2 linked regions of the Rattus norvegicus genome follow. The protein of the gene in region 2 purifies or fractionates together with the protein of the main gene of each other region. This does not show direct contact. Links are inferred from orthologs where the notes say so. Each region holds a gene or a part of one and is shown on either strand. Other genes may lie near its edges.

The links. Proteins that work in one complex are often made in the same cells at the same time.
Region 1: the proteins of Ccnd1 (region 2) and Pcna purify together in Homo sapiens (affinity purification with western blotting; 5 studies listed by BioGRID and IntAct, with this or other methods). This does not show direct contact. The link is inferred for Rattus norvegicus from reciprocal best matches to the Homo sapiens genes CCND1 and PCNA.

The regions. Positions count from the first base shown.
Region 1 is NC_086021.1:139,953,499-139,957,247, forward strand, and holds the start of Pcna (proliferating cell nuclear antigen), read right to left. Parts: upstream 2,323-3,749; 5' UTR 2,261-2,322; coding exon 2,040-2,260; intron 1,234-2,039; coding exon 1,136-1,233; intron 991-1,135; coding exon 923-990; intron 690-922; coding exon 495-689; intron 1-494. UniProt on the Homo sapiens protein: Auxiliary protein of DNA polymerase delta and epsilon, is involved in the control of eukaryotic DNA replication by increasing the polymerase's processibility during elongation of the leading strand.
Region 2 is NC_086019.1:209,525,254-209,529,002, forward strand, and holds the start of Ccnd1 (G1/S-specific cyclin-D1), read right to left. Parts: upstream 2,558-3,749; 5' UTR 2,433-2,557; coding exon 2,235-2,432; intron 844-2,234; coding exon 628-843; intron 89-627; coding exon 1-88. UniProt on the Homo sapiens protein: Regulatory component of the cyclin D1-CDK4 (DC) complex that phosphorylates and inhibits members of the retinoblastoma (RB) protein family including RB1 and regulates the cell-cycle during G(1)/S transition.

The DNA of each region.
Region 1 (3,749 bases), on a different chromosome or scaffold from region 2:
GCACATAAAATGTCAGAGTATTCAATGCAACTCTTTCCGAGTTGCATGAAGTCTTATTTCCTTTGGTACTGTGGATATTCTTATTATTGTATTGAGTCCTGTTGCCTGTAGCTAGGCCTAAATTACAACCTAACTTTGCTCAGTCTGCTTTTGCACCATTAAATGAACTAGTAACTGAACCTACAACACATAAAAGCTATTAGAGGAGCTACATGATCCCAAGACTTTTACACCCCCAACCATTCCGTTCACTTGCTAATCCTCACTGATTTGTCAAGAGTATTTCCAGGAAGCAAAAGGTTGTACACTTAGCTTTCCAAATCCTGTCTGTAAAAGCTTATGTGGCATCATCTGAGTTCCAAGCCAGCTTGGTCTACTCAGAATGCCATCTCAAAATGAAAGAATGAATAAACAAACAGAAGTCAAGGCTTAATGGCTAAGCCGGCAATCCTGCTTCAGACACAGTTAGCTGGACGACACCTCTTGCTACTTACAGCTTCCTCTTCTTTATCAACATTGCTTGTCTGGGACAACTTAATGTTCCCATTGCCAAGCTCCCCACTCGCAGAAAACTTCACCCCGTCCTTTGCACAGGAGATCACCACAGCATCTCCAATATGGCTAAGGTCCCGGCATATACGTGCAAATTCACCAGATGGCATCTTTACTACGCAGCTGTACTCCTGTTCCTGTAAATGCAAGGTTAAAGGTCAGTCTAGAAAAGAGGAAGACTCAGCTTCATGTTCTCAAGTTTCAGCACCTTAACTAGAACTCAGAACACAAGACTTCTGATGTCTTTACAACTCAATCAAGTTTAGGCTGTTGTGGTCTGGTGAAATGGCAAACACCACAACTCCACTTTAGAACATGCATCAGCTGGTATCACAGCTTGGTAAAACACCATCAGAAACAAGATACTTACTGGGATTCCAAGTTGCTCAACGTCTAAGTCCATTAACTTCATCTCATAGTCTGAAACTTTCTCTTGATCTACCAAAAGAAATCCAAGTGTTACTGAAGCACATGTTCATATCTATGTTGTAAATTTACCACAACCCTGTTGTTTTTAATTGTGAGAAACAGAAACAGCACACTTTAATTTCTGTAGCAACTGAGTTTTAAGGGTGTAACTTACTTGGTGCTTCAAATACTAGTGCTAAGGTATCAGCATTATCTTCAGCCCTTAATGTAATGATGTCTTCATTACCAGCACATTTTAGAATTTTGGACATGCTAGAAAAAAAAAAGGACACAGGGCTTATCAACATCATGTCTCCACATTTACATTTTTAAATTTATATTTCACATTCATGATTGGAGAATTGTTAGGGAGGATAAGGGTACCCCGAACCCTCTCAGAGGTTAAGCAAATTATCGGGTATATGTGATCCTTAAAAATCGATTTAGTAAAATGCACTAAAAGCCAACATTCAAGAACGCATCCTTTTTAGTGGGGTGTCCTCGGTTTTCAGCGTACTGGAGAGTGTGCCCTATCGCGTCTGGCCTTTTCATAAATGTTTCAAAATGTATACAAGTGACACTAATCCATATATCTGTACCAAAATAAGTCACATATTGTCCTTGAAATGTATACAGGAGGCACTAACACAGGTAGTTGTAGCAAAGTTAAAAGCTAAAACTGAGATTTTCCTGCAAATCCATGACGCGCAGTGAGATTCTAGAAGTCAAGAAAAGGCCTATCGTCACTCTAAGACTCTAAGTCGACAGTCCTTTTTCACCAGAACTCGCTTATTAGGCGCTAAAATCGGCCAGAAAAAGCTGCAGGCACTTAATGAGCGCAGCTCGGAAGCACGCATTTTCCCGCTGACTACCGCTTTGTGGCTTTGGCGCGGGAAAAAAGTAGGCGCGACAGCCAGCGCGGGCTTTTCGGAACCGCGCGCTTTGGTGGGTGATGTCCCCGGCACCACAGGCCAATCAGAAAGCGCGGACGGCCATGCCAGCCAATGCGAGTGCAGGAACACAGCCCCGCCAAGAGCCGAAGCGGGAGGGATGGGGCCCAGCTCCCGCCACCCGCTCACCTGGTGAGGTTCACGCCCATGGCCAGGTTGCGATCGCAGCGGTATGTGTCGAAGCCTTCGGAGCGCAGAGTAAGCTGCACTAAGGAGACGTGAGACGAATCCATGCTCTGTAGGTTCACGCCGCCCGAACTGATGTCCCAGCAGGCCTCATTGATGAGGTCTTTGAGGGCCTCCAGCACCTTCTTCAGGATGGAGCCCTGGATCAGGCGTGCCTCAAACATGGTGGCGGAGTTGCGACGTCTAGATGAGAGTTACTGTAAGGGGAGCGAGGTCTTGCTGACAAGGTACCCCGACTCACGATGCAGAAGTAGCGTGAAGACCAGGAGGGACGATAACCAGTCACCTGCGCCCGCAACCGTCTAATGCCGCGGCTTCCTAGGCGCGCGCTCTTTCAGTGCGCGAGGTTGTGGCGTCACAGCGCTGACCCACCCACCTCTCCTCTAGAACCAATCGTATCCGTGGTTTGAGCAAGGCCCGCCCCGCCGCGTATACAGAGGCGGAGCTGTGCGGTAAGAGCGTGGGAGGCGAGGGGCATCACGGGGTTCGCGTAGGCTGTCGTCACCGCCGGTGTTGGAGGGAGCTTAGGCTGTGGTTTCCATGTTCCTTAGGAAGTTTCTGCGCCACGGAAATGAAAGCCACTTGCAGTGCGCGGCGGCCTGCCTTGAAGAGGGAGACTGTAGTTCCTTCAAACACAGTGGAGTGCGTTTCTTTTACTACTGCGTAAAAAATATGCCGCAAAATATTGAGTAATAAAGAGGCCATCTTATCTGAACACTCCCCAATTTCATAACACTTACCTGGGTGCTTCGCTCTGAACTTTCCTCCCTAAAGATTTAAAAAAAAAAATGCCTCTTAACGCGAACGCTTCTGCAAAGATATATAGTTCATGTGTACCACGTAATTAGTTTCCTGTATGGTTGGTTTCTTTTATATTTTTAAAGGTAGATATTAGTATTTTCATCTTAGTTTTAGGCTTAAGATGAACCCAAGCCTGAGCCCCATCTTGAAAATATTAGCTGTTGCAGGTGAAGCGTCTTTCATATGTCCCTGGGCTGCAGCATTTTGTTCTACTAAAACTTCTTTTTCCTATTGATTATGAGGATGGAGAAGAACTGAATGTAGGTAATGGGCATCATTTACAAAAGGATATAAATGATTTCTATTTCTAATGCTTTTTCTCTTGGTTTTGGTGGTAGATAAAATATATTTGATAGTGGAAGTGTAAAACTTCCAGCTTCCATTTGGAATGCCTCTTCTAACTGTAGACACAACTTTTGGTGTGTGATGTTTTATTTATTTGCATTTTTTTTTTTACTAATAAGACATATAAAATTTCAGAAAGTTAAAAGGATTGTTTTAGCTGGTAAGAGTGTTTTACAGCTAATTCCAGCACATGGGAAGGCTGAGGTGGGAGGGCCTAGATTTAAACTCAGCTTGGACTATCTACCAAGACTGACACGAAGGGGGAAAAAGGAATGGTTTACGTATGAAAATATTAACCACATATCATGTGTATTTATTCTTCCCTTATTTACAGCATTTCTCTTTAGCTTGTCTTGTTTGATTTTTCTTTTCCTGGCTTGGGGATTTAGGCAGGACATTGTATAACAACTCTTATCATTGAGCCATAGCCTCAGCCTGTTAGGAGTCTCCATAATTTTTTGAGGCTTGCTTTAAACTCACTCTGTTATCCATGCTGGCCTTGAACTC
Region 2 (3,749 bases):
TTTTGGAGAGGAAGTGTTCGATGAAATCGTGGGGAGTCATGGCGGCCAGGTTCCATTTGAGCTTGTTCACCAGAAGCAGTTCCATTTGCTGCAGAGAATGAGGAACTCGGTCAAAAGAAAGGCAGGCTGATTCAAGAAGGTCTTAAGAGTGGGGACATCCGGGGGTTGGGGATTTAGCTCAGAGGTAGCCCTGGGTTCGGTCCCCAGCTCCGAAAAAAAAGAAAAAAGGAAAAAAAAAGAAAAAAAGAGTGGGGACATCCTGGGACCCCATATAGGTAAACAACAAAATGTGCCTGTAGAAAGTCTGAAGGGACAGACAAGCTATGGACAAAAAGACCTCCCACGGCCAGCGCTGCGGCCCGGGCGTCGCTAGGGGGCGCACACCGCCTACAGTTCAGAGCTGTTCCACCGCAGACTCGGTGGGGAGTCCGGAAAGGGGGCGGGCACAGAGGTAGAATGGGGTTGGGATTCTCTGCCCACTGCCACTTCGGTGTCATGCAGTGTGGGTGCCATCCATGGGGCAGGAGATTTGTCCATGGATGGCTGGACCTCCTGCCCCTTAAATCTCCCACCACTCAGGGATCGAGCAGCTAATGGAGGATTACGGGTGGTGGGTTAAGCAGTTACCAGCAACTCCTCGGGGCGGATAGAGTTGTCAGTGTAGATGCACAACTTCTCGGCAGTCAGGGGAATGGTCTCCTTCATCTTAGAGGCCACGAACATGCAGGTGGCCCCCAGAAGCTGCAGGCGGCTCTTCTTCAGGGGCTCCAGAGACAAGAAACGGTCCAGGTAGTTCATGGCCAGCGGGAAGACCTCCTCTTCGCACTTCTGCTCCTCGCAGACCTGCGGGAACCCGGACCCTGACCGTCAACGGGGGAGGGGGGTGTCGCTCGATGTGACCCCGCACCCTTTTTATAGATTGCACAGAGGGATTCCGGTGGCCAATTCCGGGGGATGCGCTCTAGCCCTGCGGGTTCCCAGTACCCACCCATCATGAAACTGAAAGGGAAAGTCCTTGGGCAGCTGGCGCGGCGGATCGAGGCAGTGGTGGCCACGGAGACCCCCGTCCCCGTTGAAATTAGGAAGCCACAAGGCAGGGAAGCCCACCGTAGGGTTGGCGGAGCGCCGGGGGCTGGGCACCGCTCAAGCGCACGCGAGACACAAAGGTGGCGTCCCAGGCCGCCGCGCTGCATTTCCCAGACGTCATCTTTTCAAAAAATATTTAAAAATATTTAAAAAATAACTAGGTGCCTAAAAACGGCCTGAAAATAACAATAGGGCTACCCTTGATCCAAGCCGAGGGTCAGGAGCTCGGTGGACATTGGGGGATAAGTCCCAGCAACTCAAACTTCGGGGGCCCCCCTTTTGCTGGGTGCGGGCGCTGTTTGCCTCTGCAAGGGCATTATAACTCACTTTAAAAATTATTTTAAAATATTTTGGAACCCTTGAGCCTCCTGTTGAACAACTGAAAATGTGCTTTGGTCCCCCGGCTTGACCCAGACAGGTTCCCCCAAATGCAGACCCGCACGGACAACAGTCAATCTCGGTGACTAGGGGGCCACGCGACCTTGCAGTCTAGCGTTTTCTCTGGGCCAGGCAGCGTGTGCGGGGTGCCCAGGGGTCCGTTGTTTGAACAAAGAGTCTCCCACCCCCAAATATTCCTCACAGTGTCCTATTTAGTGACTCCCGGCCGCCACGAGGCCCCTCGTGCCCGTCCCAGCGCCCCTTCTGCCACTCTCCGCCCTGCCCCCAATTATTAATAAACACTTTTGCTTTGCAATAAAGGAGCAAAGATGGCGCATAATATTGGCACGAGCGGCCCTTGCATACGTGTCCATGGATATTAATTTAAAAATCAAATCTATGCCCCCTCCCCCCTTAGCTGGCGCTACGCGCAGGGGCGGCCCCCGCTGAGGCGCTGCAGGAATGGGGCACAAGCGGGGGCCACAGAAGAAGCTCAGCCTGCATCCTCTGTGGTGTCTCTGACACGGTCCTCCCTGGAAGGCACCCCTCCCCGACTGCCCCCCCCCACCAGGAAAAGAAATTCCTATCGCCCCAACTCCTAAACCTTTCCCGTTCAAAAGGACCCGAAAGTGTCTATTTATTTTGTGAATCCCGAGTCCTAGCAACACACCGGGAAAAATCCGTGACGGAAAGGAAGAGAAGGGAAGAAGATGTCGGTGATAGCAACAAGTTGCCAGGGGGTCCCAAGCTAGCAGCCTGTAGTTTCTCACCTCTAGCATCCAGGTGGCCACGATTTTCCGCATGGATGGCACAATCTCCCTCTGCACGCACTTGAAGTAAGAAACGGAGGGCGCGCAGGTCTCCTCAGTCTTAAGCATGGCTCGCAGCACCCGGTCGTTGAGGAGATTGGTGTCAGGGTACGCGCGGCGGATGGTCTCCACTTCGCAGCACAGGAGCTGGTGTTCCATGGCGCGGCCGCCTGGGGAGGGCTGTGGTCCGGGTTGGGCTCCGGTGTCTGCTGCTGACGCGCGCTGCCTCGCGCTCTACGACCGGTCTCCGGAGCGCGCGGAGTCTGCAGCTCTCTGCTACTGCGCCAACAGCCCTCTGGAGGCTGCAGGACTTTGCAACTTCAACAAAACTCCCCTGTAGTCCGAGTGACGTTACTGTTGTTAAGCAGAGATCAAAGCCGGGCAGAGAAAAAGGAGGGGGGGCGGGCCGAGGCGGGCGCAGGGGGAGGGGGCTCGGGAGCAGTGAGCGGCGGGGGTGGGGGGGGACAAACCCAAAGCCTGCCCCCTCCCCCCTCGGCCTTCGTAGATATGCAAATCGCCGGGACTGCTTCTCTCTAAGCTGGGAAAGAGCGGGGCAAGGGCAATGGGGAGGGGGGCTTCTTTCCCCAAGTGGGTCCTCCGAGACCTGTGAAGGTGGGGTAGCGGCGGCTCTGGACAGGGGGACAGCTAGGAGGGAGGCCAGGCCACACGCAAGCCAAGAAAGAATGTATGGAAGGGGATCGTGGGGGGTGCAAGGACACCCTATACTTAAGCGGAGAGAATGGGCGCGTTTCCGAGGACGCCACGAGGGCACCCACGGGCGGACCGATTGCTAAGAAATCCCGTCGTCCTCGACTTCTTTCAATTTCATCAACACGTGTAAAATTCAGGAACTGTGTAACAGGCGAAGATGCCAGACGAGCCCTAAGTTCTCGTGCAGGCTCCCTCCTGGCGCACTGGGGTGGTTGCAAAGGGCCAGAGGGGTATCTTTGAGCTTTAAAGGGTCCCCAGCCTGGCATGTACTCGCTCAAAAATAAAATAAAATAAAACCCCGAAAATCTCAGCAACAGCTCAAGATGGTGGCCATTATTTCCTTCATCTATTCCTCCTCGCTGGGGGTGGGGTGGGGGTGGGGATGGGGTCTGAGATTTGCCTTCTTACAGTGACCGGTTTATCCTGGCCAGGGTCCTCTGGTATCCCCCTCCTCCACTGCCGGAGAAAAATAAATCTTTGAAGGAAAGGTTGAGACACGATAGGCTCTTTGTGTAATTTATTTTTTAATTAAGAAAAGTAAATCGCTGCAAGTATTAGTTGCCCTTCCAGGAACCAGACCACCGGAAGCTTCCCGATTGGCTTCGTTGGGGGTGTGTTTTGTGTTCCCCCACCTTTAGAATTGCAGCTGGGGCAGCCTTACAGAGTTTGGGGGTGGGGACTGGTGAGAATCAAGATAAATGTGTGAGCCGATAAGGTGATATTTAAAGACATTCTATAGATACTCGTGGATACCAGAATGGATCC